Linked DNA regions of Diceros bicornis minor. The protein of the gene in region 2 purifies or fractionates together with the protein of the main gene of each other region. This does not show direct contact. Links are inferred from orthologs where the notes say so. Each region holds a gene or a part of one and is shown on either strand. Other genes may lie near its edges.

Region 1 (7,720 bases), on a different chromosome or scaffold from region 2:
ACAAAATTAACCAAGACATTTTATCCTGGAGGTTTACGCTGAGCTTTCCAGCATTAAAGACAAATGCATTTCTTACATCTACACGCCACACTCCCACAGGCAGCATTTCCTTCAAATCTCAACACAGGGTTTCAGACTAAGTCTACACCTCTAATTACTGACTTCTCAAACAATGCTGTTCACTGAACAATTTGCTTTATTACTTTGCTACATTCTTACAAATGTGTGAGTGAAAAAGGACACTAAAATAAGCTATTGTGTATATATAGGGTACAAAAGGTTTTGAGTCCATCTTACCTTTGAAACATTCTTAAAAATCGTAAGCAAACAGAAAAGGAACTGCAGGATTTTTCTATGTATATAAGGCCTTAAACTAAGACTCAGTGGGATGCCATTTTGAAACTTCCCAGCAGGAAGTTCAGTTTGGTCAGAGGGCGGTTTAGGTGCTTCAACTAATATTTTTAACTGACTTGAAAGTTAGTCTTGTACTTTTATAAAAGAATATACCAAGTCCATAAACTAAAGCATTTCAAAATGGCAGGCTACTATTTCTGTTAATCCAAGAAGCATAAACATCTTACAAAAAATTCGTGTCTTAAAATATCTGAGCATTCAATTAGAATTATTGAGGGGCCAGCCTCGTGGCTTAGCAGTTAAGTGCTCGCGCTCCGCTGCTGGCGGCCCGGGTTCGGATCCCAGGCGCTCACCAACGCACCGCTTCTCCAGCCATGCTGAGGCCACGTCCCACATACAGCAACTAGAAGGATGTGCAGCTGTGACATACAACTATCTACTGGGGCTTTGGGGAAAAATAAATAAATAAATAAAATTAAAAAAAAAAAAACTATTGTGGACAAATTCCCTTCCAGAGCATTGAGTGCCAAAGACCTGTTACCTCATAGAATGAAATAAAAGATTGAAGTTCATAAATTTAAGCTGGTTGAAGAGAAAGCTTTTCATAACCAGATCAGAATCTAACCAAAAACATACTTGGAAAAAGCAACCTGCAACGATAACCTGAGATTAGTCTTTAAGCATGTTTTGAAGAGATAGTAAGCATTTCCTCTTCTGTCTTCAGTTTTTTTTTTTTTTCAATGACTTAATCCAAAATTAGGAAGATGTCACAGTACTTAGTCTGTCAAGATCCATGTTAAAGAGACCAGGATTTAAACCCCCAGCAGAAATTTAGAGACTAGCAAGAAAGAAACTAAGCCAGGGATCCACTGAGTGAGTTAGAAATCAAGAGCATTTCACCACAGTGCCACAAAACCCTGCCATAAAACTACTAAGACTACAATCTTAGGCAAAAAGGGGAAATACTTTCAGTTACTAATATTCAAGTCTTTGTGCCTTGATTCTAGACTTAAGTTTCCACTGAAAGACTCGGGACTCACACTTGTTGAAAAGGGACCAACTTTCCAAACAAGTTTTATCAACATGCCACCATTTCAGTCAAACAACTAGATACCTAAAACTTCATGTATCATCAGCTCATTTGCTCCTTAGACAAGGTAACAATTTAATGTCCTAAATAAAACACGATTTAAACTGTTACCATATATCTTATTAATAGCTAAAATACTAGTAGCCACGTCAACCTCGGCCACAGAACACTAACACATTAAACTCGAATACCTCTACAAAAAACAAGTTTGTTCTTAACCTGTTTGACCTACTTCCTAATTTTTTACTTGTCCTCCCATTTTTTCATCCATGTATCCCTATTCCTTAACAAACAGATTGTCGTAAGAGAAATGCTCAGCATTTTTTTCCACAAAAAATAATTATATTCACTCAATCATGACTTAAACCAAATCCCCCCTGGCAATCGAATTATAGAGAAATACTGAGGGAGGTGAAGTCTACAGCTTTCAGGAAGAAAACAGACTTTTTAATAGAGTCCTAAGAAATGCGATGTTTGAGTGACTTCGTGGGAAAAGTTTACTTCTCAAAGTTTATTTTAAACACCACTTTCAAGCCCGCAGATATCAAGCACCTTCTCTTTTTAGCCCACAAAGCTTACTCCTAGTGGGGGTAACTACTGGTGTGAGCCGGGATGGGGGAATTCTGCAGCAAGGGAGGCAGTGCACAAGAATCTTGGTGTCTGGGAGGAACCCCTAGGAGCCCTGGAGTAAATCTCTCAGCAGCAGCGGGGCCTGCAAGTGCTCAGCGCACGAGGGGGACACTTCCCAGGAGCAGAGCCGCCAGCGGAGCACAGACACCGGCCCAGGGGGTGGGGGCCGAGTCTGGAGAAAGTGCGAGCGCCCGGCGCGCGAGTGGAACAAAACCTGTGGCAAGCAGCAATCAGGAAGTGCTGGCGCCCGCCGCCCCTCCCACCGGCGGACACCTGAAACACCCGGGTTTGACAACGTGCTGGGGGCGGGGGAGGGGGACTGGCGGCTCCAGGTCGGCGGGCGAGACCTGGGAGCCTGCAACTACTCCCCACACGGCCCCTGGCCCCGGGGGCTAGGCCTCGGGAGCCCATGCCCCCTGCACCGACCGGGCAGCCCGGAGAGAAAGGGGCAGTTGAGGAGCTCGTGGGGTCCGAGGAGGGTGCAGCCCGCGCCAAACAAGGCCCGGCCGCCCGCACTGCCGCCCCCGCCGCCCGCGGAGCCCCCAGGCCCGGGCCGGGACCACCCCGGGGCTCGCCCCGCGCTCTGCCCTCCGCTTCGTGGAGCCGCGGCGCCGGCCTCTTCTCCTCAGAGCCCGAACTCCCCGCGAGCCCACGGCAGAGAGCCCGCCCTCTCCCGCCTCGCCACTTCCCTGTCCCGACTGCCCCTTACTCCGCGAGGCTCCGGGAAACGCTCCCCATGGCCCCGGGACCACCCGCTTCCTTCCCCACCGGCGCCCGCGTTCCGTGGCTAACTCCGCCAGCAGGCCGCACAACACCTCACCTCAGGCGGCTCCGGCGGCGCTGGACACAGGAAACTCCTGGGTCCCCGACTCCGGCTCTCCTCGACCCCCTCTTCGGTTAACTCCGCTTGTTTCTCTACAAAATGGCGCCGGAGGTCGCGCGCTCACGTCGCGGCCTTTCCCCTCCCCGTTCCCATTTCATCATTCGCTGCCCGCCCGAGGAGGGATGGTCCCGGCGCCAGCCAATGACCGTGCCGCGCCCGTGGCGCCCGCCCAATCACCGACAGGTGCCCGCGGATTTAAACCAATCACACACTATCACTTGCAGAAGTCAAGGAAGAAACCAGGCTCCTGCTAGCAACTACCAATCCGGACTCTAGTTCGCGGGCTTTGGCCAATTGCCGCTCACCGTCCCTAGGGACTGGAGTCGGAGCCCTCGCGCCTGCGCTTGAAACGAGGGCCAATGAGGAGACGCAGAGAACTTCGATTTGGGGCTTCATGGACTTCCCACCTGCCCTCGAAGTCTTCGGCCAGTGGGGGCTTGGCATTGCCTCTGAGAAACAATAAGGGAGGGGGCCCATAAACCCTCGCCACCCTGAGTGGGAACTACTTGGACTTGAAGTGAAACAGCCTTTCCCTACTCTTCTTCCTCTTTCGAAGTGTCAAGTCCGGTAGACTGCGGAACTTCCAAATCTTAAACATTCCCCTCCCCTCTTATCCCTTTGGCGGGGACCGGCAGCTACCAGAAAGCAAGCCAGGCTGTAACTAGAGTGGTGGCGCTTTGCATCCCGGGATATGTAGTTCCCATTCCTGTCGCAAAAGTAATGCGTCTTCTCCGTCGCTGACTGCGCCCTAGGAAGAGCAGTGCATGCTGGGGAATGTAGTCTCCCAGGGTCCCACTTGATTCTAGCTTGTCTCACTTTTAGCGAGAGAACTTTCTCTCCTTGTTCTGCCTTTTGAAGGAAAGACGCTTTACGGAGAGATAGGAAGCTAAGGTTCCCTTTTTGGCTTATTCCCCGTGTGCAGTATCAGAAGGGATATCTATGCCCTTCGCTCTCAAGAGAAAAAGCATAGAAACATATATTTTGCTGTGGTTTATTATCTACAGTAGATCGTAAAATTTTATGGTCACCTGTTCCCAGATGAGGGTAGGAGAACAGAGAAAGCAGTGTTACGCGGTTGGCTCTTTTACCTTATGAAAAAATATGCCTTTCTCATCATCCTGAGGCTAGTCTCAGTAGCTTGTCTCCTAACCATCTGTCTCATACTACCTTTTGTGCCCAAAATACTTTTTTTATTGTAGAAAAAACACATAATATAAAATTTTACCATCTTTTTTTGTGTGTGTGAGGAAGATCGGCCCTGAGCTAACATCCATGCCAGTCCTCTTTTTGCTGAGGAAGATTGGCCCTGGGCTAACATCCATGCCCATCTTCCTTCGCTTTATATGGGACGCCACCACAGCATGGCTTGACAAGGGGTGCATGGGTACGCGCCGGGGATCCAAACTGGCAAACCCTGGGCCGCCACCACAGTGGAGCGCGCACACTTAACTGCTTGCACCACTGGGCCAGCCCCAAATTTTACCATCTTAACCATTTTTAAGTGTACTGTACAGTACTGTTAACTATATGTATATTGTTGTGCAACAGATTTCTAGAACTTTTTCGTCTTGCAAAACTTAAACTCTATACCCATTAACTCCTCATTTCCTCCCTCCAAAACCTGACAACCGTCATTCTACTTTCTAAGAGTCTGACTACTTTAGATACGTGTTACAGATGGAATCATGCAATATTTGTCTTTTATTGACTGGCTTATTTCACTTAGCATCATGTCCCAAAAATAGGGTTTTTTTTTAATTATTTATTTATTTATTTATTTTCCCCCCCAAAGCCCCAGTAGATAGTTGTATGTCATAGCTGCACATCCTTCTAGTTGCTGTACGTGGGACGCGGCCTCAGCATGACCAGAGAAGCAGTGCGTTGGTGCGTGCCCCTGCTCCGAACCTGGGCCGCCAGCAGCGGAGCGCGTGCACTTAACTGCTAAGCCACCGGCCGGCCCAACCAAAAATAGTTTTTGACACCTGCCTTTCCTTGATTGGAGGCCAATTCTTTCAGCAAACATTTACTGAATGTCTTGTGTTTTCAAGCAACTGTACAAGACCCAGGGACCCCACGTACAGGAAGAGCAAGGATTGCTTCAGTCTTATTCATAGTGTATTCCCACCACTTAGCACAGTGCCTGGCACATGGTAGACATGTGAGCAAATAAATGCAGAAAAATCAGGAAACAGAGAAATGGACTTACAACATTATAATGTCAGTGGTTAAAAGCCCCTTAAACAGACCAAGGATGAGGAATAAGGCCCTTCTATACATTGTTGCTGTATAAAATTGGTAAAACCCCTATGGATAGCAGCATTTTGTGTGAGTTTATGAAAACTGAAAATGCACAGACCCACTGACCTAGTAATTCCATGTCTAGGAATTTATTCCACAGGTCAACATTGAAAATATGCACAGAGATGAATGTATAAATTCACTGACACGTTGTTATGGGGCCCCAAAAGATTGGAAATAATAGGGAAGGGGTTAAATAAACGTATGGTACTGTCATACAATGGAATACTATAAAGTTTTTAAAAAGATTGAGGTAAATCTATATGTACTGATGTGGAAAGATTCCAAGATTTATCGTTAAATAAAAAAATTAGGTGCAGAATAGAAAAAATATATATATAGCATAATCAGTATGTTACCATTTGTGTAGGAGAAAATAACTGTATCTATATTTACATATGACGAAATGGGTGAAAAGGTTTGGGAAGATACGCCTCCCGCCAACTGACACCAATGGTTACCCCTGGGAGGGGAATGGGATGAGGAAGGCTAAAGGGAACTTTTACTTTTAATTCTATATAGTACTGTACTACTTGAACTTTTTACAAGGAGGATGTATTTAAGTTTTATTTGTATAATTTAAAATAATTTTTTTAAAAGAGACAGAAAGTGATACCCATAGAGTTCAACTATCCAAGGTCGGCTCTGTAATTCTACGTAGTTCAGACCTCAAACATAGATCTCCTTTTTTTTTTTTTTTTGTGAGGAAGATGGGCCCTGAGCTAACATCTGCCAATCCTCCTCTTTTTTTTGCTGAGGAAGACTGGCCGTGGGCTAACATCCATGCCCATCTTCCTCTACTTTATATGGGATGCCGCCACAGCATGGCTTGCCAAGCAGTGCATCCATGCACCCTGGGATCCCAACGGGCGAACCCCGGGCCGCCGCAGCGGAACACGCGCAGTTAACCCCATGCGCCACCAGGCCGGCCCCATAGATCTCCTTAAATAAGATAAGTTAATATAAAGCTGAGTTGCCTTTCCCCACTTCGGCCTGTCTTTGCTAGGAAAATGAATTCCTACTTATACGGAGGATGCTCTGGGAGACCCTTGAGCCCACTACCAGCCCCTCCATGGGAGCTGCACCAACACCACTCCTAGGATTGACCTTCCATGGGGACTTAGCCAAGTACTTGCAGGATTCACACAATAGCCTGGAGATCAAAGTCCTCCAACGGTGTGTTGTCAGGAATTCTAGGTGGCTTGTATCTTTACTAGAAAGCAGAGACTCGTACAGTGTTTACAAACTGGAAGGAGTAGCAGAGATCACCTGGTGCGCCTTTTTTCTTTTACTCAAAGACATAGTAGGAAATCATGCCCAGACAAACCATTTTACAAGAGACCTTCACAAAGGATTCCCTGAATCACCTTATAACTCAGCAATTATGTGTCCTAGGGTTCAAACGTGTTTAGAAACAGGATAGTTCAGCCAGCTGTTAATTACTCACCTGGCCTCATTCCTCAGCCTTCTTCTTCCAGTCCTTACCCCGCCCCCCCCAATTAATTGTGCATCCCAGCCTCTGGGAGAACTTTACAAACTTTTTCCATTGTTTCCCAAAATAACCTGGAGGGGGAAATGCAAGTGGTAGGAAACAAAATTGGATTGAATTGGGTTGGGTGGAGGCAAAAATACCTAGAAGACAAAGGACTTGGAGACTTGGAGATCTGTGCAAACTATGTTACAAAATGTTTGGAGGTGCTTTGAAGAAGGGTGAGCTGAAATACAAGGCCTTATTGTTCCTGTTTTTCAGTCCCATTTATCAGATGAGTCAGTAACTTCAATTTGCAGTGGTTTTGACTACCTTACAATTCTTTATCCTATTCAAGGCACCTCATTGACAGCCCAACTAAATTCAGATCTCCTTCCAGCCCATCATCACTGCCTAGTGTCAAACCTCCTGACTCCCTGGGCATCCAGGTCTTGGTGTGACTTTGGTAGCTCTGAGCTGGGGGAAGGATGTCCAGGGAGGCACACTGCAAAAGCCCACTGAGAAATTCAGAAACCCAAGTCCTATACCAGTCTGTGCCCCTAACTTTCTATGTAGCCTTGGGAAAGTCACTTCCCCACTCTGGACCTCCTTTTCTCCCTTCACTATTCTGAGGATATTGTGATACTGGCTCAACACAAGGTTGACATAAGGGAAGCCATAGTGTACAAAAGAAACCCTGTCGTAACTTTGAAGGACCTCTGATTAACTAGCCCAGACATGCTCTGTAGATTTTATGGCCCCTCCCAGCTGCTATAAGTTGATAACTTTGTTCTCTTGAGTTCCTTAGGAATGTGATGACCCCCGGGGAAGAGAGTCTATGCTGATAGCCATCATCAAGGACAACTGAAAGATCAGGGTATAGGGTGTTGCTCCGATCTCTGATGCACATCCAGTAAAACAAAAGACTATCAGGAACTAAGACCAGATGTCTGCTCCCACCTGGAGGTCAGATGGGTGCCCCACCTGGAGAGTAGAT
Region 2 (7,323 bases):
TCTAAAAATCTTCATCGAAATGGTCAGTTAGGTACTGATGTTGACCCCCAGCTCATGTTTTACGGGTTCCCTTTCTTCGTGGTGATGATGAGGTCTCCTGGGGCCCATGGGGTGGCCACGGTCAGGAGGAGGCCCCGTGCCCATGCCCACAGCCTCCCATGCCCACCCGTATCCCCCACCACGGGGTCTGCAGTCAGGCCACACTCCTAGCTCTGCCTTCCCTCAGGGCCTCTGGCAGGAGAGTGAAGTTCCAGTGTTTGCATCCCTGAGACACACGGGAACACTTCACCTTGTGAGGCTTCTATCTTGTGCTTTCCTCAGGAGAAGTAGCCGACAGAGTAAGGACTACCTGCGATTGGATCTGAGCATTTCAGCGCCTGGTCTCTGTTTAGTCTGCCTCCGTTCCCACTCCCCCACCCCCACAGAAACTAGCATCTCTAGGTTTCTGTAAGCTACTGAGGCCAGAGTTGGAATCCCTCTGGGGTATCCTACCTCAGCACTATCAGTCATCAGAATTACCTGGAAGTCCTGTTAAAACACAGAGCCGGCCTGAGAATGTTTTCCTCTGACACATTTCCGGTGGTCCTGGTGCTGCTGGTTGGACCACACTTCAGAGAGCCATTGACCTACACCATACGGTCTTCCCTCTCTTTCCTTTGTTCCTAGCTGCTCCTCTCCCTGAACACCCCACCCCCACCCCAAAGAAGAAGGAGGTCGGCGCAGTGTTGGGTGGTGAAGGAATTACAGGAGAATTGAAATAAACAAGAGAAGAACTTGAATAACCTTTCAGAGTTGCCACTTGATCCCTTTCCCAGGAAATATCATTTCTTAATTTTTTTCCTTCCATGAACTAGCCTTTTATCTATAGCAGAGAATTTTCTTTGAAAAAGACAATCTTTGGGGGCCAGTCCAGTGGCCTGGTGGTTAAGTTCAGCGCACTCCACTCCAGTGGCCCTGGTTCGTGGGCGCGGATCCCGGCTGTGGACCTACACCTTTCGTCAAGCCATGCTGTGGCGTCGACCCACATACAAAAAATAGAAGAAGACTGGCACAGATGTTAACACAGGGCCGATCTTCCTCACACACACAAAAAAAATTTTATTGAGATATAACATTATGTCATATCCCAGGTGTACAACATGAGTCCATATTTGTGTATACTGCAAAATGATCACCACAATATGTCTAGTTAACATCCATCACCACAAACAGCTACAATGTTTTTCTTATAATGAGAACTTTTAAGATCTACTCTCTTAGCAACTTTTGAATATATAATACAGTATTATTAACTATAGTCACCATGCTGTACATTACAAGCCCAGGACTTACTTATTTTGTAACTGGAAGTTTGTACCTCTTGACTACCTTCACATTTCCTTCTTATTCTGGATTCATGTTTCCTTTACCATCAAATAAAATACCATGGAATAAAACTAATATTTACTGAGGGCCTACTATGTGCCAAGGACTGTACTAACAGTAGTAAATGGTGTATATGCATCATCTCAAAGGATCTTCCCAATGATTTTGAAAGTATGTGTTATTAGCCCATTTTGCCTATAAGCACACTGAGGGTTAGGGAGGTTTTGTGGTTGCCTGAGGCCACAGAGCTAGTCATAGGTAGGACAGGGATTCTAATCTAGGCCTGAATCCAACAGTCAAGCTATACTGCCATCGATAGCATTATAATTTCTATAATAGTCTATCTGCTATACTGTAAAATAATCAATTACAAAATGAAAGACTTGTCACATATTATGTGACTTTTTTTTTTTATTTTTAAAGATTTTTATTTATTTATTTTTTACCCCCGAAGCCCCAGTAGATAGTGTCATAGCTGCACATCCATCTAGTTGCTGTACGTGGGATGCGGCCTCAGCGTGGCCAGAGAAGCGGTGCGTCGGTGCGCGCCCGGGATCCGAACCCGGGCCGCCAGCAGCAGAGCGCGGGCACTTAACCGCTAAGCCACGGGGCCGGCCCCAAGACTTGTCACATATTAAACAACTCTTCTGTAGTCCATCCATTCATTCAGCATCTATATTTATTAAGTGCGTCCTATGTGCCACGCACTAGAGTTAGGTCCTGGGAATACAGTGGTAAACAAGATAGAACTTGTCAAAATACATTCTATGAGAATGTCTTGTGAAAATTTATTTTTTAATAGTTTGTCCTTTGATTAAAATTGTTCAGAAAAGGACACATGTCAGTAAGCCAGAACTGCATTCCTCCTTCCTGTTTCTCTAGCCAACCTCCTGTGACTTTCTATAAACTCAGTTTAACAAATTTGTTTCCTATTTTTCTTAACGAAGGAGCATGTGTTGCTTTAATTTTTAAAACATTTTTATTTTTTGAGTGGGTAATACATTTATATAGCTCAAAATTAAAAAGAAACCAAAGGGTATATAGTAAAATTTAATCTCCCTTCCACTCCGGACCTCCAGCCACCCAGATGGCCCCAGAGGCACCACTATTACGTGTATATGTTGTCGTCCCCTCCTTCCTCCTTTTCTGTATTGACAATGGTTGGTTACTGTCTACAGAGAGCTCTCTACTTTTCTTTGGTTGATATATCTTGGAGATCATGCCAAATCAATAAATGGAGCTACTCTGTTCTTTTTAACAGCTGCACATAGAAATAATTCTAGAATGTACTGTAAGATATTTAATTAGGCCCAATTGATGAATACATAACCTGGCCCAATATGTTGCTATTACAAACAATTCTACAATGACTCCTCTTGGATGCATATCAATTTACCCATGAGTGAGTCTATTTGTGAGATAATTTCCTGTAAGGGGAAATGCTGGGTTAACGGCAAATGGTACATGCATTTGTAGTTGAAAACATTTTTCATTATGGAATTTTTCAAGCATTACAAAAGGAGAAAGACTAGTATAATGAATTCGCACATACTTGTCACCCAGCTTCAAGGGTTACCATTAATCCATGGCTGATACTATTGCGTATATATTGGTCCCATCCATTCCCTCCACCTCAAGTTATTTTGAAACAACCCTAGACATAATAGGTAAATATTTTGGCACTATTTCTGAAAAGTAAGGGCTTTAAAAATGTGTGTGTGTAATTTCATTATTACACCTAAAATAAAGTAATAATTTATTGTCATCAGATATCCTATTAGTGTCACATTTTCCCAGATTGTCTCATAAAAATTTATTTTTTTAATATTTTGTTCTTGGATTCAGAATCTAAATAAGGTCCATCCATTCACTGCGGTTGGTTGTTTTTTTTTAATCTATCGGTTTCTTCCTCTTCTCTCTCCTTCTTTCTTTCTTGTTTTTTTTTGTTTTTGTTTTTGCCGCATTATTGTAGAAACTGGATAAATTTGCTTCCAGAGTCTGGATTTTGCTGATTACATCCCCATAGGGTCATTTAATATGTTCCCCTATCCTTTAGGCCAAAGGGGAAATGCAAAATTAAATTGTAGAATTTCTTAAAATAATAATATGGAAAACAACATCAGAATCTGTGTGACACAGCGAAAGCAGTTAGAAGAAAATTTATAGAACTAAAGAACTATATCAAATGTTTGCTCTCGAGTTGGTGCAGACACAGGTGTAGGAGCAAATGTTTCTTCCCGACGCCCCCTTTCCCATGCGTGGGACTCAGCCCGTGCCCCTTGTCCTGCCATCTGTCCCCATCAAGTGTGGGCTTCAGGCACAGGGCCCGGGCTTTGAGTGTGGGAGGCACTTGCTCCACCTCACTTTTCTTTTCCCGCCCTGGAGTGGAGAACAGAAGGTATCAACAGCCCTCTCCCCCTGGAGTGTTGGGGACTGGACCTTCCCCCGTCCCCTCTCTATCGGAACAAAGAACCTGGCGTCATCCGTCTGCTGGGCTCACTTCGTGGCAGAGGGGTCTGCAGGGTAAGGCGGAGAAAAGCCCACCGTGCACATACATCCCGGGCGCGGGCTTCCTGCCGTCGGAGACCTGAGCCGTGGCCGCGGCGCGTCCCTCGCGCTCCCCCCGCGCCCTCTCAGGCTCGGCCGGCCTCGCGGTCCCGGAGCCGGCCGGGGAGTCCGGCCGTGGGCCCTCTGCCCCTGCGGCCCTCGCCCCAAACTCGGAGCCCGGGAGCCGACGCGGGGGCGCAGCCCGGCGTCACCACCACTAAGGCCCCGAGGGCCCCGCGGCGACGGACAAGCCCAAGGCGAACAAAGAGCCGGGCCGTGCGCCCGCGCCCCGGGGCGGCCGAGGGGCGCCGCGCCCCGCGCCCCGCTCCCCGCTCCCCGCGCCCCGCGCCCGCGCCCGCGCCCCGCTCCCCGCGCCCCGCGCCCCGCGCCCCGCGCCCGCGCCGCCGGCGCCCGGGAGGCGGGCGGCTCCTTATATGGTCAAATGACACGGCGGGGCGCTCCGCGCGGAGCCGCTGCGCTCCACTCGGCCGGCCGCGGAGCCGCAGCCCGGAGCCGCCGCCCGGCCAGCCCGCGAGAGCCGGCCCGCCGCCGCGCGGTGAGTGCCCGCCGCCCCGGCCACCCGAGGGACACGGGGCTCCACCGGCAAGGCTGGGGACAGGGGAGCCGGGCCGCGGGGACGCCTGGGGACAGGGAGCCGGGCCGCGGGGACGCCTGGGGAGAAGGGAGCTGAGCACTGAGGAGGAGCCGGGGAGAGGGGGGACGAGAGCCTAGCCCAGGGGGAGACCCCGGGAGAGGGGAGCCGAGCCTTGGGGACACCCGGGGAGGGGCAGCTGAGCAGTGAGGGGGACCAGGGGAGAGAGGAGACGAGCAGTGGGGGAGACCCGGGGAGGAGGAAGCTGAACCGTGGTGGGGAGGCCCCGGGGGTACTGGAGGCCGGAGGGACCCCCGCCCCATCCCCGGAGGGAGGACCGCGGTCCTCGTCCTGGCGAGCTGGGTCACCGCCGGGTGTGGAGGAGAGATTGTGTCACCCACGGGCTAGCGCCGGGCAAAGGGTGGCCGCGGGTCGGAGCGCAGGGAAGTGACCGCCCCCTGTCCCCCGGGGTCGGGGGTTGGCACGCAGGCCGGCTGCCTTCAGTCTGCGCAGGGGGTCGGGGGCATTTCCCTCCACTAGAAAGAAGTGGAGCTTGCGGGTGTGGCCTCACGCATTGACTCCTGCGGAAATTAAAAAACTGAACCACTAGGTTAAAAAATGGGCTTATTTTAAATGAAAAAAATTCTAATCTTAGATTGCAGTCGTATGATATCTTAGCATACCTGAAATTGTGGGAAGAGAGTGTTAAATGTTGTTTCCAATTTTAAATGAAGAATCAATTATATTTACTTTCAAATCGCCGTTTGGGTTTCCATTCCAACTAGGCCAACTCAGGTTAAATGAAATGGATACAGCTGCCTTCCGTGGCCTGCACTTATTTGGGGAGGTAATAAGTCACAGTTCTCACAGTTCTGGCTTATAATTAGGAGAACTATGTTCAAAACGAGACACTAAATACTTCTGACACCTTTGTGTTAACCCTGCTTGTGTGTGTTTTGTAATAATGTGTTAGAGACAGTTGGCTTTGGTATCCTGAAGGTGATTTAAACCAGAAAACACTTGAGGCCAGTCTTAGGTGTATGGGAAACCCTAGTCTGACAATTAAACTTCCATAAACCCAAACTCAATGAAGAACGCTTCATTGTGTATTTATATAAGATTATTTCACAGTGTTTTTCAGATATAGCTCACCCTGAATTTTTAAGGATTATCAGTGAATATATAGAATTGGGTTTCCACAGTGTTTATTATCCTCCATGCTTCAAAATGCTTTTACACAGCAGTGTATCAATAAGGAGCAGGTTGGCTTACTGCCCACCCGGCACTGTTCTAGGCACACACGTTGGCAGTCTCATTTACAAATAAGGCGGGTGTGATAGGCTAGTGGGTGTGCAGGGACTGGAGCTAGGCTGCCTGAGTTCACATCCCTGAGTTCACTGTCCCTCAACCGTGAGCTGTGCAACCCTGGCTAAGTCACCTAACCTCTTGGTGCCTCAGTTTCCACAACTGGAAAACAAGGATGTGATGGTAGCTTGCTTGCAGGGTTGTTATGAAGCCTGCACACCATAAGCAGTGTATACATATTTGACACTATCCTCATTTTTATGGATCAACTGAAGCATGGAGAGATCAAAGGAACTTTTGCTTAAGGTTTCCCAGACTATAAATGATGGTCCTGAGATCTGACCCCAGACAGCTTGAGAGCCTGAGTCCTAACCACTAAACTATTGGGGGCACACCTGAATATTTCAAGGAGGCCTTATAGTGCATGTTTTAACCCAAAATGTTTGTTAAACCACTTCCAGTACTGAAAGAAATCAAAATTGCAGGAAAAAACGCCCAGTGGGATACTGAAAAAAATTAGACTGGGCGTCAGGAGGCCTGGGTTCTGTTCCTGTCCTGCACTGAGGGTCAGTCACCCAGCATCTGGAGCTTGGGCTGCCTCATGTGTCAGCAGAGGGGCTGGAGTAGGTAGTTAAGCTTATCTCTGACTCAGATGCCATGACTCAAAGTTCCTCGAGCTTGGGTGAACAAAAACATTAGATATTGGATACTTCCTGTGTAGTTTTATTAGGAGAATTTTATTAAAGCCACATATATCACGTGGCATTATACTGAGAGGCCACTTCCTCAAGATGACCACCATGGACAAAATGCATGGGCCTTCTCTAGTGACTGAGACCCCCGTCTTCCAGGAGACCAGGCTGGCCTTGTGTCTCTGGGGTGAGTTAAGTGAATTGCTACTGTCATCCTGAATGGTGGATTTGAACGATAGTTTCTGTGATGGTTAATTTTATGTCAGCTTGACTGAGCCATGGGGTGCCCAGACATTTGGTCACACTTTATTTCTGGGTGTGTCTGTTTCTGGAGGAGATTAACATTTGAATCAGTGGACTGAGTAAGGCAGATTGCTTTTCCTAATGTGGGTGGGCCTCATCCAATCAGCTGAAGACCTGAATAGAACAAAAAGTCTGAGCAAGTGGGACTTCCTCCTGCCTGACTTGGATTCAAACTAAAAAAAAAAGACTAAATAAGAGAGAAGTCCGTTTGCCTGACTGCTTGAGCTGGGATGTTGGTTCTTTCCAGCCTTCAGACTCAGACTGAAACATCAGCTCTTGGGTATTGAGCCTGCCAGCTTTTGAACTGGAACTTGCACCATTGGCTCTCCTGATTCTCAGGCCTTCAGACTCCGACTGGAACTACACGTTAGCTCTCTTGAGTCTCCAGCTTGCCAGTTGCAGATTGTGGGGCTTCTCAGCCTCCATAATATTGTGAACCCGTTACTTGTAATAAATTTCCTTATACACACACACACACGCACGCGCGCACAGTCATGCACCTCATAACAACGTTTCGGT
Region 3 (7,458 bases), on a different chromosome or scaffold from region 2:
AGAGAGAGAGAAGGCAAAAGCGTTGGGCGTTGGCAGCAGGCTTAGCCGGGAGAAGTGTCCTACTTGAAGCAGAGTGTGGGACAGGAAGAGGGAACTTCAGAAGGGGGGTTGGGGGAGGTCAAGGGAGGTCCCAGCAGCCATATCCTCCACTCTTCCCAGACTACTCTCTAACTTGTCACCTAACCCCAAAGGCCTGGAGCTTTAGGGAGCTGCCCACCGCGCCCTCCTCTGGCAAGCTCCCCCAGACACCCCACTTACTGCTCCCAGTGCACCCCTTGAGTCCGGTGGCCCTGCTCTTGAGGTTTCTACTCACGAGCAGAGCAAGAGGCCGCAAAGTCTGAAGTCTCTCCGTGAATCACCTCATGGGAGACGGGAAAAACCCGCTCCTCCCCAACCTGGGGCTCCGCCCCACCGCCTGCCTCCCCCTTCCCGCTCACCCTCCTTCCCTCCCCTCCCTCCTGCAGCTGGGAGTGGTTCCCTCTCCCCCCTCTTTCTCCCTCCTCCTTCCACATCCCTGCCCTACTCCCGCCTCCCTCAGAGCTGTCTCATCCAAACACGGAAAAATAAGGAATAAAAAGTAAACATCTGGAATACATTTTTTTCTTTAATTTCTCAATCGCTTTGGCTTCAGCTTGGAATTTGATGAGGTAAAGCCAGGGCCTAGTCCTGTTGCCATAGCAATGGCCTCCCACTGGATTTCCAGAGCCTCGCCAAGAGGAAGGAGGAGCCGGCCCAGGCCTGGGCTGGGGGAATGGGACAGGGCTTGAGAACATCCGGGGGCTGGGGTGGCTTGGGGGAAAAACTCCCTGGGGTTCCCCCTTCTAGGACAGTCAGGGTGGGACAGCCACAGCCTACGAAAAGGGGCTATGTGGGCATCACTCACCAGCCTAGGGCTGGCCTGAGGGGTTTTGAGGGGGACAGAAGAAATTGTAAACCAAGTGACACTGCCTTATAGTGAAAGCCAAATGGGTGCCTCTCCTCTAAGCTCATGACAGGAGTTCTGGGGTCCGATATACCAGGATGCAAATGCTGAGTGGGTCTACCACTTTCTAGGCGTGTGACTTCAGGCACGTCGCTTACTTCTCTAAGCCTCAGTTTCCCTATGTGAAAAATAAGAGTTCCTGAGACTGTTGGATCACATGAAATGATGCATGCAAATTGCTTAGCACAATGCCTAGTGCATAACTGTCCAATAAATGTTGGCCATTATTAGCATGATTCCATTCAGCGTCACCAATGAGCAAACATCCTTGGTCACCATCTTCTCCTCTCCCCAAACTGTTCCTTCACTCCCGCAGACCCAAGTCATGTCACCTGTTCTTCAGACACTCAACAACCTCCTCAGTTCCCATCCTGGCTCCTGAAGCACCATCCCACCCACAAGAACCACCCAGGCTCTCCAGCCTGGGGGACAGAGGCCTGCCCCTGTTGTTCCAAAGGAAGGAGGATGTTTCCTATCACCCAGTAGGCACAAAGTCGGTGAGGACAACCCAACCGTCTCCAACCTGCAAGGGGCACTGCCTTCCTCAGAGTCATCCCCTCCAGCTGGGCTGGGAAGACAGCACCAAGTCCTAACAAGGGACCTCAGTGCCCAACCTTAGCAAAAGCCCCTCAGCCCTCACCTTTGACCCTGAAGCAGCTTGTTTCAAAGACAGCAGAGAATATAAAGAGGGTAGGGAGAAACCCAGGACCATCAATCCCTTTAGTTAGCCAGCTACCATGGAGGACTGCTCCTCGTGGGTGGGTGAAGAACCGTGCAGAGCCAGTCTAAGTGTGCGTGGGGGGAGGGGCACATGACAGAAAAAAGAAAATTAAAAAAACACAAGACTGTTTCCTTGTCCTTGAACATTATTACAAGGGACACGGTGTGGGTGGTTACAAATGTGGAGGAATTGGCCCAAAACCAAAAAACCTTTTCACCTGGGGGCCTGATGGGCACCTCTGGGGTAGGAGGGGCTGCAGCAATGAAGTGGGGGCTCGGCTTCCCCAATTGAGGAGGGGGCCACAGCAGCTCAGAGTCCCCAGCCCGGAAACCCTGGTGACCAAGACCGTAGCCAAAAGCTGTAGAATCACAGCGGCTCTAAGCACTCCCCACCTCCAGGAGTCAGGGGGAGACTAGCCGAACCCCGGGAGCAAAGGCCGCCAGAAGGGCTGGGGAGAGGCTCGGCAGCTCCAACTAGGGCGCAGGGATGCAACGAGGCATCGGCGCAGGCCGGGTCGCCCCTCCGGACCCTGGGATCTCCGGCCGGATCCGGGGCCAGAGAGGTCGGCAGCGACAGCACGTACACTGCTGGAGGAGGGAGGGCCAGCGGGAAGACAGAACAGCCCGGGGCGAGGGGCCGTCTGGAGGGGCCCAGTGGGGAGCTCTGGACACAAGAGGGGACGGCGGCAGCCGAAGAGGAGGAGAAGGTGGTGGTGGTGGTGGAGGAGGAAGGGAAGGAGGAGGGGGCGGCGGCAGCAGTAGCGGAGGACCTGTGCGCGGGATGTGAAGCAGCCGGCGAACAGACCAGGCACTAGGGACGCGGGCCGGGTGGGGGCGGACTGGGTGGCTGGGGGCGTGCCGAGGGAGCCGGAGGAGGGGGCCAGCGTGCGCCCTGGGGAAAGGGAAGCGGGGGTCCCTCTAGCAGCTCCGCCCGCCCCGGGCCCCGCCTCAAGCCCTCGCCCCCTCCCCCCTTTCTTCTGGCTCGGCCAGCACGAGCTTCAGACCGTGCATCCTCCGCCCCCGCGCACACGCGCCAGCTCCGCGGTACCCTTGCTTCGCCCCCGACCCCTGCAAACTTTCCTGGTGAACCCCCCCCTCCACCTCAACTCGAGGTCCTGGCTGGAAAGCGCCCACTCCTTCCATGCCTCTCCCCCGTCCCCAGTCCAGTCCCGGACCCCGCCCCCTCCCTCGCCCTCCTGCCCGCCCCCGCACACTCACGCGCTCCCCCAGAATCCGGCTCCGCTCGGCTCGGGCTCGGCGCCCCGACGCCAGTCTCCGCCGCGGCTACCGCTGCCGCCGCCGTCACCGCGGGACCAAGCCAGTGCGAGCCCGGGCGGGGCCCCGCCCCTGGCTCCGCCCCGGCCCACGCCCCCAGCGCGCTTTATGAATACCCATGAGCCGGCGACAACCGGGCGTGGAAAGCCCGAGCAGAACTCGGTAGATCGTATGCAAATAGGCGCAGCCCAGGTGCTCAATTATTCATGAGGCTTGCAAATAAGGGGCCCGCCCCGGGCCCAGACCCCGTCGAAACTGACGCAATTCAGCCGCTGAGAGCGCTCGGGCAAAATGGCCACCGAGACGCCTGCCTAGAGAGGAGACCGCCTTAGGACGGCCCAATCCTCAGGCTGAGCGGCCTGTACGGATCGCAGCACCATAGAGTCACGGCCGGAAAGAAGGGAACCGTTGGCCGACTGCAGAGGCTTCCTGTGGCAAACACCTGAGAACCTACGCAACGTGGCCACTCCACGTGTATAAATTCAGCCTTAGAGCCACCGTCGGGAAGGCCGGAAGGTCTATTTTCCTCGCTCATCCTCCTTGTCTCTTGTTATGCCCCCTTCCCAGATAGAAGTTCCTCCCAGCCTCAAAATTGGGTATGCCCCTTTCCTCCCATAAGCTCAAAAGCTTCACACATTGGCCATACCTTGCCTTTTAGACTGCACTCCGCCCCACACACCGCTCATCCTCCCCGACTCTGCAGGCTCAGGTTTCCATTCCCCTGGCTGCAGGGAGGCTCGTCGATCCTGATTCCATTATGTGAAGCCTGGGAAGACCCTTGACTCATAGGTGATTAGCGATGGAGCCAAGAGCTGCCTCTCCTTAGCTGGGCTAATGGAGTGGAACTGTGAGAGAGACTTCCTAATCAGATCAGCTCTCATTTCTAGACTCTCAGGTGGCCCATCCCGGCAGAAGAGGGTGAAAACCAATGCTTGTCCAGCCGGGAACAGAACAGGATGTACCTGGAGACTTGCTTCCCGGCTGACCAGCAGGGCCCTGCCCAGTCAGAACAGTGTGGTCAACAACACCAAGAAAAGTGGGAGCATTACAAGAGGGCCAGAGAGAAAGCATAAGGACATGGTTTCCAAAGTCAGTTCCCTTTATTAAATGTTCATTTTCACAGACCAGAAATACAAAATAAAAGTAGAAATCTGCCCCAGTTAGGAGCTACAGGCTTGACCCCACACGACCCCTGCTGCAGCAACTTGAACAGGACAAGCAGCTATATCCCCAAGGTCGGGAGAGTAGGAGGAGGACTTGGATCCTGCACTGCCCTGCTTCCCACCCAATCTCTCCCCAAATTATGAAGAGCCAGCCTCATGAAGCAGCAGAGTAAAACGCCTCCCCTGCTGCCCCAGGCAAGTGCAGACCACCAGGAGAGCTTGTTCAGATGGCACAGAATCCAAGGACAACATGTGATATGAAGAGAAACTGGTACCAAAATATGGGTGGGGAGCCTGGGGGGTGTGACAGGGCAAGCCCAAGGAGAGAGAACTTTCCTCCTCTCTACTCATCAGATCCTGACGCCGAGTCTTCCGAGCTGGGGGGAGTACTGGCTAGTTCCTCTTCTTCAGAGTCCTGAAAACCAAAGGTCTCTTAAGGGGAAAGACCACCTCCTCAGTGGTGAAGGGCCCCCCAATTCCCTACCCCCCTCCCTAAGCTCCAGCACTAGCCTTCAGAACCTCAGAACTCCACCTGTCCACTCCATCTCATTACTCTTATAGACCAACCATAACCCCAGCCCAGAAACCTCTGTCCTCACCCACCCACCCTCGACTGAGATGCCCCTCACCCTTCCAGGCCCACAGCCCTCAAACTCCTGCCGCACCTCGCTCCGCCTTCTCTTCTTTTTGCCCTTGTTCTCTCCTGAAGAGCTCTCATCACTGGACACAAACTCTTTGCTCTTGAAGCTCTCACTTAGCTGCCTTGGCGACGACTTGGACGATGAGCCCCTAGAGGGCGTTGATTTCTTTTCCATCTTTACCTTGACTTTCTTCTTCTTCTTTGACTTGTCCCTATATTAGCAAGAGGGAAAAGGCACTGGGCCCTCCAGTTGCCGCCACCAACAAGGCCAAACCTCTCCTAGCTTTAACAGGGCCTTTCTCCATCCCAGCCATACTGCCCATCTCACCCTAAACATAAATATCAGCCATGTCAGCCCCAAGTGGCCCAAAGGAGAGCATCCGAATAACCAGAAGAATCAAGGGCCATAGCCTGAAGCAGCATCATATGCAGAACTTACTTGACATCTCTTGCTTTATCTTTAAAAATGCATGTGAATTATACTCCATAATCATATTTTTTAATACCCCTATACTTTCAAATAAAATTGACCCTCTAGAAAAATGGGCCATATTTATCCAGTGATGTCAGGCATTAGCACGTCGCCCATGCTTGAACATGCCTACTGAGATTGGAGAAGCACTGCCCTGCTGCAGTCAGGAGCATATCTATTATCTTTAACACCCCAATTCTCAACCTGGAAAAATATCCACCAAAAAAGGCAGTTACTGGGCCATTTTGTTCTTGACACTCACCTCTTAGAAGACTCACCCCGGCCCCCTTCATATTCTTTCATGGCTTTTTCATATTCCCTCCTGGCATCCTCAGCCTTGCGATCCCACTCCTGTCTCACACACACAGAAAAAACAGAAGAATGAGACCTCTTCCCTGATGCAGGCAAAATCTATCAAGAAAACTTCCACCAGTGGGGCCCCCTGCCCCTTCGATCAGTTAACAAGGTTCACCACCCCTCGTCTCTGCTACTACTCACCTCTTTCTTCTCTTTGGACATTCCCTTCCAGATCTCGCCTGCCTTCTTGGAAAGATCCGTGATACTGATGCCAGGATGGTCTGACTTGATCTTCTCTCGGCTGGCATTGAGCCACAGCATGTAGGCAGACATGGGCCTTTTGGGGGCATTGGGATCCTTGCCCTTCTTCACCTACATAAAAATGAACCCACATGCCTTCAGCCGTCTATTTCCCACAGAACCCCACATTCTCCCAAAGAAATTATCTGGATCACCTACTTGGAGGAAAAAAATGGAGAAAAGACTAAATAGCACCGGGCTAGACCAAGAGCTCCCTAAAAGCAGGGACCATGTCTTCCTCCTCTCCGCACCCCAGTGCCTAACTCACTAGGGGCCCTTTCCTCGGGCTCCTGGGATAGAAGAAGCCTGTCTCCTAATTCAGATTTCCCAGAAGCTAATTATCTCAAGGAACAGAGAGAAAAATTTCCAGGAAGATACTCCTCAAGGCCATAATCACTGGCTACAAAAAGCAGCCCCAGGAGGACCAATCAACAGGTCTGGCTGGTGATGGGCAGGAAGAGGTGAAGAGAATGGCTTCCCCAACACCCTCCCATTTAGAGGCGAGTCTGCACCTCCATGGGCTTCTTGCGGCTCTTGCGATCTTTGGCCATCTTGGCCTTTTTAAGCTGCTTCCGTTTCTTCTCATCCCGGTCACTGTCACCCTCATTACTGGAGGAGCTGGCAGAGGCATTGCTGTCAAACCTGCCAAGGAGAGTGGGGCAGAGACTCAGGGAGGGAGGACAGCACCCCACAGCCCCAGGCCAGGAGGAAAACAAGACCAAAGATACCTGCCCAGAGAGGGGAGAGGGAGGAGGACCACAGGACAGCCTCCACCCTCAGTCCCCAACCCTGCTTCCTCCCCTTCGCTGAGGTGGCTTCAGCCATCCCTCTCCAGACCCAGCCATGACAATGGGTTATTTGTTGAATTAATCAAAGAAAAACAAATGAACCAACGGACTTCAGCTGCTCTCTTTGGTCATGGCCTAACCCAGCTCCAACTCCATCCCCGTGCTCCTGGGGACAGAAACGCTGTCTCATCTTGCCAGGAACCTGCCCCAAGTCCACTTCTCCACCTCCTTTGAGTTAATCATCTTAACCTACTGTGTAGTCTTTTCTGACGAAGAGAGAATTCATTACTATAAAAAGTGGGGAAAACCAACTTAAGTCCAACCCAGCACATACCCACATAACTAAGTCCTACCTGATACAAGTGCAACTTCTCAGAGATGGAACTACCTTATATGTATATGGTACCAAACAGTTCTCAAGGCATTTTCACAAGCATTTGCTTACTGACCTTCATAAGTATGTGGCAAGCAGAACTAATGGATGCCTAGAGATTTTTTTTTTTTTTTTTTTGCCCAACATTCATTCCCAATTCTTCTGAATTAAGAGTTCCAATTTTCTGTTGGGAACCACCTGGCCCCCATTCAGGAGGGGCTCACCCCAACCACAGGCTCCAAGGGTGGGTACATGGCCTGGTTCTGGCCCGTCAAAGCACATGCTAATACCTCAGACTCAGGAAGGGGCAGTAACCACGCGTTTACTGCTACTCTGAGAGAAGGGCACTTCTGGGTGTTAAACCAGTAGGATGAAGCCTGCCCAGAGGTTCTGAGGGTCATTTAGCACTGCCTGGAGCAAACCAATCTAAATATAACGAAATCAGAGT
Region 4 (7,952 bases), on a different chromosome or scaffold from region 2:
CCACTGAATTTTGGGATAGTTTGTTCTGTAGCAATAGACAACCAGAATACACTTCAAGTGTGGTCTTAGTAAATACAAAGCTGACTATGGTAAGGATGCAGAAAATGTCCTATTTGTTTATTTCTGCTGGTGTAGTTTTAATTCTGTATGCATTTCTATGACGTGTTCCTAAAACACCTGAGTTTTGTTCAAGAATCATTCTCTACAAAGCAAGAGATCTTGGATGTTACCAAATGATACTGATTTGTTGGGGAAAAAGTATGAACAATAATAGTGACCATGTGGAAAAGGTGCCTGCGGGTAAAGTGAAGACAATATATTCAGGAGACGGGAAATGTTTTGCTCTGAAGACAGCAATGGTTACTGCATATCTTGAAAATGAGAATTTATTCTACTCCAAAGTTTTCTTGCTGGTAGAAATTTGGACAAAACTGTGAGAAAGACTCTAACCATCTCTACGCAGGGCCAAGTAGGCAAAAAGCGACCTGCATGCTTATTATAGCAATGACCAGATTGCTATAGATTGCTTTTTAATTAATTCATTAACTATTGTGGTAAAAAACATATAAAATTTATAATCTTTACCATTTTTAAGTGTACAATTGAGTAGTGTACAAAATATTTCCATTGTTTTGAAACAGATCTCCAGAATCTTTTTATCTTGCAGAACTGAAACTCTATACAACTTAAACTATTCCCCTTTGCCCCCTCCCTTCAGCCCCAGTAGCTGCCATTTTACTTTCTGTATTTATGAATTTGACTACTTTAGATACCTCATATATGTGGAATGATATAGTATTTGTCCTTGTGACTACTTCACTCAGCATAATGTCCTCAAGGTTCATCTATGTTGTAGCATTTGACAAGATTTCCTTCTTTTTAAAGACTGCATAGGGCCGGCCCTGTGGCTTAGTGATTGGGTGAGCGCGCTCCGCTGCTGGCGGCCCGGGTTCGGATCCCGGGCGTGCACCGGACCCACCGCTTCTCCGGCCATGCTGAGGCCACGTCCCACATACAGCAACTAGAGGCTGTGCAACTATGACATACAGCTATCCGTTGGGGCTTTGAGGGGAAAAATAAATAAATAAAATCTTTAAAAAATAAATAAATAAATAAAGACTGCATAGTATTCCATTGTATGTATATACCACATTTTGTTTCTCCATTCATCTGTCAATGGACATTTGGGTTGCTTCCACCTCTTGGCTATTGTGAATAGTGCTGCTATGAACATGAGTGTGCAAATTTCTCTTTGAGACCTTGCTTTCACTTCTTTTGGATATATTCTCAGAAGTGGGTTTGGTGGAACATATGGAAGTTCTATTTTTAATTTTTTGAGGAACTGCCATACTGTTTTCCATAGTAGTTGCATCATTTTATAATCTCACCAACTATAGATTGTTTGTAGAACCTCAACTGTCATGAATATAATAAGATATTGCTTTAAGTACAATAGAGAATATCAACAGAAACAAAATCCAGACCATTGTAGTTCAGATACATCAATCAGGAGAGTTTAAATTGATACCTGTTATAAAACATTGACAATACACTCACTAATCCTTTTTTAATGGAAATATATAATTCAGAGGCCTTATTTTTAGACACTTTTATGTAATTAGGCTTATGTTTTGATTTACATTTTGGCTTTTGTTTAGAAAGATTTGGTTATAACATTTTGGACTATTTTAATAGCTCTTCTTTTGTGTTAAATTTAGAATGAAATATTTCAAATCTACAGGAAAGAATACAAAATAATATAACAAATGTCTAAGTACTTACAAGCCAGCTTGAACAAATCATATTCTTGCCATATTTCTTTAGATATGTCCCCAGGAGTAGTGCAGTAGGGCAGGAAAAGAACCCTAAGAAACATTTCCACTCCTGCTGACTGTGACAGCAAGCAAAAATGCATGAAATCAGAGAAAAGAAACTAGTAACTAAATGATCGTACTTGGCTACCTATTACTCTTCCTGTAGTTTAAGAGGAACACGGCCCAGTAGCTAAAATCAGGGGCTCTGAAGTCAGATAGACCTGTATTCAAGTCCTGGGTTTGCTTCTTTCTAGTTGTGTGGCCTTGAGAAAGTTGCTTAACCTATCCTTGCCTCAGTTTCCTTATCTGAAAATGGAGATAACATAATAATTCCCAAGGTTGCTGGGAGGATTAAAAGAGAAATGTGCACTCTCATGTATTTACTATACATAATGACTATACAGTTAGTGACACATAGTGAAGCTTCAACAAATATTAGTAATTACTGGTTGTGTTTATTGAGCACCTACTATATGCCAATCACTCTTCTGGTGCTGAGATCCAGCAGTGAACAGAAATAAAGACTCCTGTAGAGCTTACTTTCTAGTGACAAACAACAGTGTAATTTCAGATGGTGATAGGGACCATGAAGAAAAGATAAGATATTGGAAGGAGGTGCTACTTTAGACAGGAGACAGGAGGTCATAGGAGGCCTGTATGAAACCTTCAGAGGTGAAATTGAACTGAGCAGCAGAAGGAACCATTCATTGGAAGTTTGGGAGAAGAGTGTTGAAAGAGAGGGAATGGTATGTGCTTAGGCCCTGAGGCAAGAAAGCTTGGTTTGTACAAGAAGCAGAAATGACAGGATGACAGAAGCTCAGTATGTGAGGGGAAGGGAGCGTGGGTACTACGTCTGAGAGTTAGGACGAACAGGCCAAAAAGAGCCTTGTAGTAAGGAGCATAGTAAGGAGCTTGGACTTTATTCTTAAGGGACTGTGAAGACATCGGAGGGTTTTTATTGCTAGTAGGTACAGCACCCTTTGCTCCGAGGAGGACTTTGCGTGCTTTCCTGTAGGTCTGTTTTAATTTATGTGTATGTTTATGCTGCAGGAGTAACTTTTCTGAGATACCACATTGGTTACTCATGGGCTCCCCCTGGTGGAGTTGGTGGCTAAGCTCGCATAGTTTCAGTTGCGCAAAAACAAAGAAAATGAGCAATTTATCCCAAAGTAAATGAGCAATTTATCCTTTCGTTCAACATTTATGGGGCGCCTACAATGCGCCAGGCTCTCTTGTGGTGCTGAAATGCATCCATGAACAAAACAAATAAACATCTGTGCCTTCATGGAGCTTAAATTCTGGGGGAGGCGGGGGGGGGGGGGGGGGGGGGCGTTGGGCGGGGTGGTGAGGAGAGACATTAAACCAAATTCACCAGCAAATTATTGGATGGGATAAATGTTATTAGAGAAAAATTAAGGAGGGAATTGGGCTAGGAATGCAGAGAGGATGGTAGTATTTCAATTTAAAATATAGTGTCAGGGAAGGGCTCATTGAGAGGGTGACATTTGAACAAAGATGTAAGGACGTGACAGGGTGAATGATGCAGTTATCTGAGGGAAAAGCATTCCACGCTGAGGGATCAGCAAGCACAAAGGGCTTGAGTCTATGTGCAGGCTTGAGGAACAAAAAAGGGGCCAATGTGCTTTGAGCGGAGGGATAATGGAGAGGGCAGAAGATGAGATTAGCTGTACTGCTGAGTGTCACATCTTGAGGGTCCTGTAGGCCAAAGTAAGCATTTTCTTTTCTTTTCTTTTCTTTTTTGTGGGGAAGATCAGTCCTGAGCTAACATCCATGCCAATCCTCCTCTTTTTTTTTGCTGAGGAAGACTGGCCCTTGGCTAACATCTGTGCCCATCTTCCTCCACTTTATATGGGACGCCGTCAAAGCATGGCCTGACAAGCAGTCCATTGGTGTGCCCCCAGGGTCCAAACCGGGACCACCAGCAGCGGAGTGCCCGCACTTAACTGCTATGCCACAGAGGCGGCCCCAGGATTTTCATTTTCACTTTGAAATAGGAATCCACTGGACAAACGACACGATCTGATTAAGGTTTTAACAGGAGTCTGCTGCTGTTGTATTAATAGATTGTGGGAGGGCAAGTGTATAAAAAGGGCAAACAATCACAATGACTGTGGCTTGTAACAACAGAAGCAGCAAATGGTCAGATTCTGGATAAATTTTTGAAGGCAGATCCTGCAGAACTTGCCGTTGAATTAGACGTGGGGTGTGAGAGAGAGGAGTCAAAGATCTTAATAAAGATCTTAGCAAATGTTATCACAGGAAGAGGCGATCAAACAATATATAGCCAAAAAATGTAGGAAAAAAGTATTTTAGAGGTGTATTAAGCAGTTGAGTGTGTAACTTTTCTGGATTTTGTGTTGTTGAAATTTTAAAAATTTGTAATTTATGATTTCTTTTCTCATTTAAAGATTCATTTTTATAATTAATATTTTATTTGTAATTTTGAATTTTCTTAAAGAGGACCCCCAAATTGAATAAACTTCAGGCCCCCACAAAACCTGACTTCAGTCCTGCTCCTTTCCCATAGTTGGGTAGTAATTTAAAGTTAACGAAGTATTAAAAATTTTTGTTTCTGATAAAATTATTACATAAAACAATGTGCACGAAATAGAAGTTAATTGTAAGCTCAATACAGTATTAGGACTAAACTAATATTGGGGATAAAAACATCACCTTGGGCTAGCCTCTCCCAAGTGTCTTCTAAAATTTCCCACCCATTCTTCCTCCCACAATTTTTCTAAATCTACCAAATGCAGCCAGCATTTCCCCTCACGTTCGCTTTAGGAAGGGATTACACGCATTTTAAAAGACCTTCTTGAAAAATGAGCGCTTAAGTATTTTTTACCGGAGCCGCCTGTGCCTCTGTGGCACCACGGTCCGGACGCAGGGAAAACCAGCCCACCCGCACAAGCACCACGGTGGCGCCGAGTGGGGCGTAACCAGGGGCGGGGCTCCCGGGCCGACAGAGTGGGCGGGGTCTAGGCGCTGCCCCGCTCCGCCCCGCCCCGCCCGCTCCGCTTGACGCATGCGCTCAGAAGCTTCTGGCGGAACGAGGTGTGGACTGTGAGGTGACCCTGGCCGCTGACTTCCGGTTCCTAGGGATGTGCATCCGGGTCACGCTAGCGCCGCGGTTTCCTCCACCCGCTTGGTTTTGCTGTGGGTCTGGACCGGTCCCTATGTCCTGCTGTGGGGCCTCTGGCGTCTTTGGGTGAGTCTCCGCCGCCGTCAGGGTCTGAGTGCGGCCGGTCGAGAGCAGCCTGTAGAGGGGCCGGTCAAGAGTTCTCTCCTGGTCCCTGTGGGTGAGGGTTCTCATTGCCTGTCCCTTGTCTCTACAGTGCTTCCCTCACTTCAGCCCTTTCCCTCACGCTGGCCTCGCCTCTTTCACCTGAGCTTAGCCTTTCTCGTCTCCGCGTACCTCTCGCCTCGCTGTTTTTCCGCAGCCTCATCCGCCCCTTACACGCCTAGATTTCTTGCCTTTCTCCTCAGCGCTTCCCTCAGCCACTGCCTCTCCGTTTCCGCCTCCTCTCTCCTTAGTACCTCTCATCCCCGACCCCCGATCCCGGGATCTCGCTGTTCTTCCACCGGGCGGGACGGCGCTCCTCCTCTCTGGGCTCACCCTCCTCCACTGCGAAACTGAACCTGTCTCTCTGTAGAGTCCTACGTCCTCGACCCGCAACTTTCCTCACCTTAGACCCCTACCTTCTCCCGCGACTAGTAGGTGTCTTCCATGCTTTGCTGGGGTTCTCCCGCCTTTTCTTAGCTAGAAGAGGGCTTTACCTAGTCCCGGATATGGGTCGATTTACCCGGTCTGGGGGAAGTTTTGCCTGGAGGCGCTGAGTTGGACTGAACTCTGGTAGCTTCCGTAGTTCGGGAACAACAAAGGGGTTCCCAGTTCCCGGTTCTTTGCTGGAGCACGGTTTGGGGGGCTCTCTCTAGAGCGGGCTAACAGGTGGCAGGCACACGGAACTGCTGGCGGTTGGGCTTGTGTGATCTTGTTAATTGACAGGTCATGAGGACGTGCTGTCATTTTGGCGTTCTCTCTCCGATGAGAATGGAGGTACACAGCTGGGGCAAAAATGCGATGTTCTGGGACGATCAGCTCTGTTTTCTGCATGGGCTTTACTTATAGGACAGTTGCTATGGCAGAGGACAGAGTTCCTTGGGAGATTAGCCCCAGATTTATAAGTTTATTGCCGAAAATTTTAGTACGTTGTAACTGAAACGTTTTCTGCTAAAGAGTTCACTATAGTGATTTCAAAGTACATTTTCTTTAGTTGAACTTAGCGTGCACATGGATCTTTATTCTTGCCTCTTGTACGTTGTCTTCATTTTTACTGTATTGACAAGTTTTTCTGTTTTTATTCCTGTTTCCTCCTAAGCCAGACATTACAGTACTTTATTATTTAGAATATTTTTTTATTTATTTATTTTTTTACTGTTTCCACCCTAGTCTTCAGACCACCTTTTTCTCGTTTTGAGACTTAAGTTTCTCTTGAATTTCTTAAGTTTCTCTGGAGGCTTTTAGTCATCTCTAAAATGAAGGGATTGGATTTAATAATGGTTAGTGTCCCCTTTCCCAAATTTTGTGATCTGAGGTATATTTTGAGACACAGGGTTGGATAATTTTTATCTTTGTTTTTCCAATGTTTATGGTGTATGTCTAGCATTTGACTGCAAATGTTTTTGTGTGATCAGTTCCTGTACTCATATAAATTGTGCTCTAAAATTTAGTACTTCATTGAACAGAATAAATACAGCTTTTAGCATCTGCTTCTCTTTTGACTAATGAGTTATAGAAAAGTCTCCCTCATTATATGATAAATATACATATGTGAGCATAGCATAGACCTTGGCTTATTCCAAAACTGAGCTGCTCCCTTCAGCTATTTTTAGCAAAGGACTTCGGAGCTTGGCCATATTAGTCCTAGAAGCCACAGAGAAGGACCCTTCTGGTTGGCTTTCAGGACTTATCTGACTGCTGAGGGAAGCCCTTTTGAAAGCTTCTTACCATACCTCCTCCCCAGCACCTACACTGGACATTCGAGCTTCTGTTCAGCCTGGCCTCATCATTTCTTATCCTTAAAAGCTAACCGCAATGAGTATGGGCTGACTCTCTCTGTTTCCTTACCTCCAAGTTTGTGGACTTTTTTTTTTTTTAGCCGTGGGAACTTCATAGATAGACCTATATTTGGATTGATGCAAGGCCCTCTTTCAACTTTTTTCATTTCTGAACTTGTTATTTCTTGAGCATGTCTAAGTCTAAACCTATGTAGATTTCTACAGTTTACAGCTGGAGAGAACCATCGAGTTCATACTTACCCCTTCATTTTACAAATAATGAAATCAGGACTTAAAGAATTGGTGATGATTTTTCCAAGGTCACTTTTTACAAGTGAAGAAGTCCTGTACATGCACTCAGGTGGGTTTTAGTTCCATCAAAGCTGTGTGCTGGAGAGCACAAATAGTATTTAGTGGTTCATTTCAATAAATTTATATCATAGGAATGAACATTTTAGGATAAGAAACCTGTGACGCAAATTTTTAAATTCAAATCTGAAGTCATTTTTCCTTCAAAGAGGGAACTCTAGAAAGAAACTGTGTGGTGGTGAAGTAGAAGTTGCAAAGTCTTAAAGTATCTCTTTCTCTCTCTTTTCTTCTAAAATTACTTTGGCCTATTATGATATAGATTCTGTATAAAAACCTTTATATGAAATGAACACCCCATGGTCTCATTGGATCAGTTGTGTTCATGCTCCTGGTCTTTGTACAGAACGCTGATAGACTTTCTAATTACTGAAAAGTCTGCACCTCTTACCAGCTGCCAAACAAACAAATATCACTAGAGACAGACAGACTTAGTGTATGTGTTTTTAAAGCTCAGGAGAGGAATCGTTGTAAATTTTCTGTAGAAATTTCTACTTTAGTTTGGTGAAGTCTTAGTTTGTAATTCTGAGGGCTCAATTTAAAATACATTTCTGCCCCTTAGTTTTATGCCTAACGTGTTTTTTGTGTTGACTTGTTTTGATTATTTTTTTTTCCCCCCCAAGCCCCAGTAGATAGTTGTATGTCACAGCTACACATCTTTCTAGTTGCTGTATGTGGGACGCGGCCTCAGCA

The links.
Region 1: the proteins of FHL2 (region 2) and CNOT1 purify together in Homo sapiens (affinity purification with mass spectrometry; 3 studies listed by BioGRID and IntAct, with this or other methods). This does not show direct contact. The link is inferred for Diceros bicornis minor from reciprocal best matches to the Homo sapiens genes FHL2 and CNOT1.
Region 3: the proteins of FHL2 (region 2) and TNKS1BP1 purify together in Homo sapiens (affinity purification with mass spectrometry; 3 studies listed by BioGRID and IntAct, with this or other methods). This does not show direct contact. The link is inferred for Diceros bicornis minor from reciprocal best matches to the Homo sapiens genes FHL2 and TNKS1BP1.
Region 4: the proteins of FHL2 (region 2) and EYA3 purify together in Homo sapiens (affinity purification with mass spectrometry; 3 studies listed by BioGRID and IntAct, with this or other methods). This does not show direct contact. The link is inferred for Diceros bicornis minor from reciprocal best matches to the Homo sapiens genes FHL2 and EYA3.

What each region holds. Positions count from the first base shown.
Region 1 is NC_080771.1:11,898,249-11,905,968, forward strand, and holds the start of CNOT1 (CCR4-NOT transcription complex subunit 1), read right to left. Parts: upstream 3,001-7,720; 5' UTR 2,895-3,000; intron 1-2,894.
Region 2 is NC_080779.1:8,314,249-8,321,571, forward strand, and holds the start of FHL2 (four and a half LIM domains protein 2), read left to right. Parts: upstream 1-4,313; 5' UTR 4,314-4,354; coding exon 4,355-4,468; intron 4,469-7,323. UniProt on the Homo sapiens protein: May function as a molecular transmitter linking various signaling pathways to transcriptional regulation. Negatively regulates the transcriptional repressor E4F1 and may function in cell growth.
Region 3 is NC_080770.1:16,630,793-16,638,250, reverse strand, and holds the start of TNKS1BP1 (182 kDa tankyrase-1-binding protein), read right to left. Parts: upstream 3,001-7,458; 5' UTR 2,921-3,000; intron 324-2,920; exon of another isoform or gene 259-323; intron 1-258. Other genes in the region: FACT complex subunit SSRP1, read right to left, coding at 4,484-4,555, 4,806-4,992, 5,515-5,603, 5,751-5,921, 6,362-6,491.
Region 4 is NC_080752.1:43,545,632-43,553,583, reverse strand, and holds the start of EYA3 (eyes absent homolog 3), read left to right. Parts: upstream 1-4,941; 5' UTR 4,942-5,043; intron 5,044-6,310; exon of another isoform or gene 6,311-7,254; intron 7,255-7,952. UniProt on the Homo sapiens protein: Tyrosine phosphatase that specifically dephosphorylates 'Tyr-142' of histone H2AX (H2AXY142ph). 'Tyr-142' phosphorylation of histone H2AX plays a central role in DNA repair and acts as a mark that distinguishes between apoptotic and repair responses to genotoxic stress.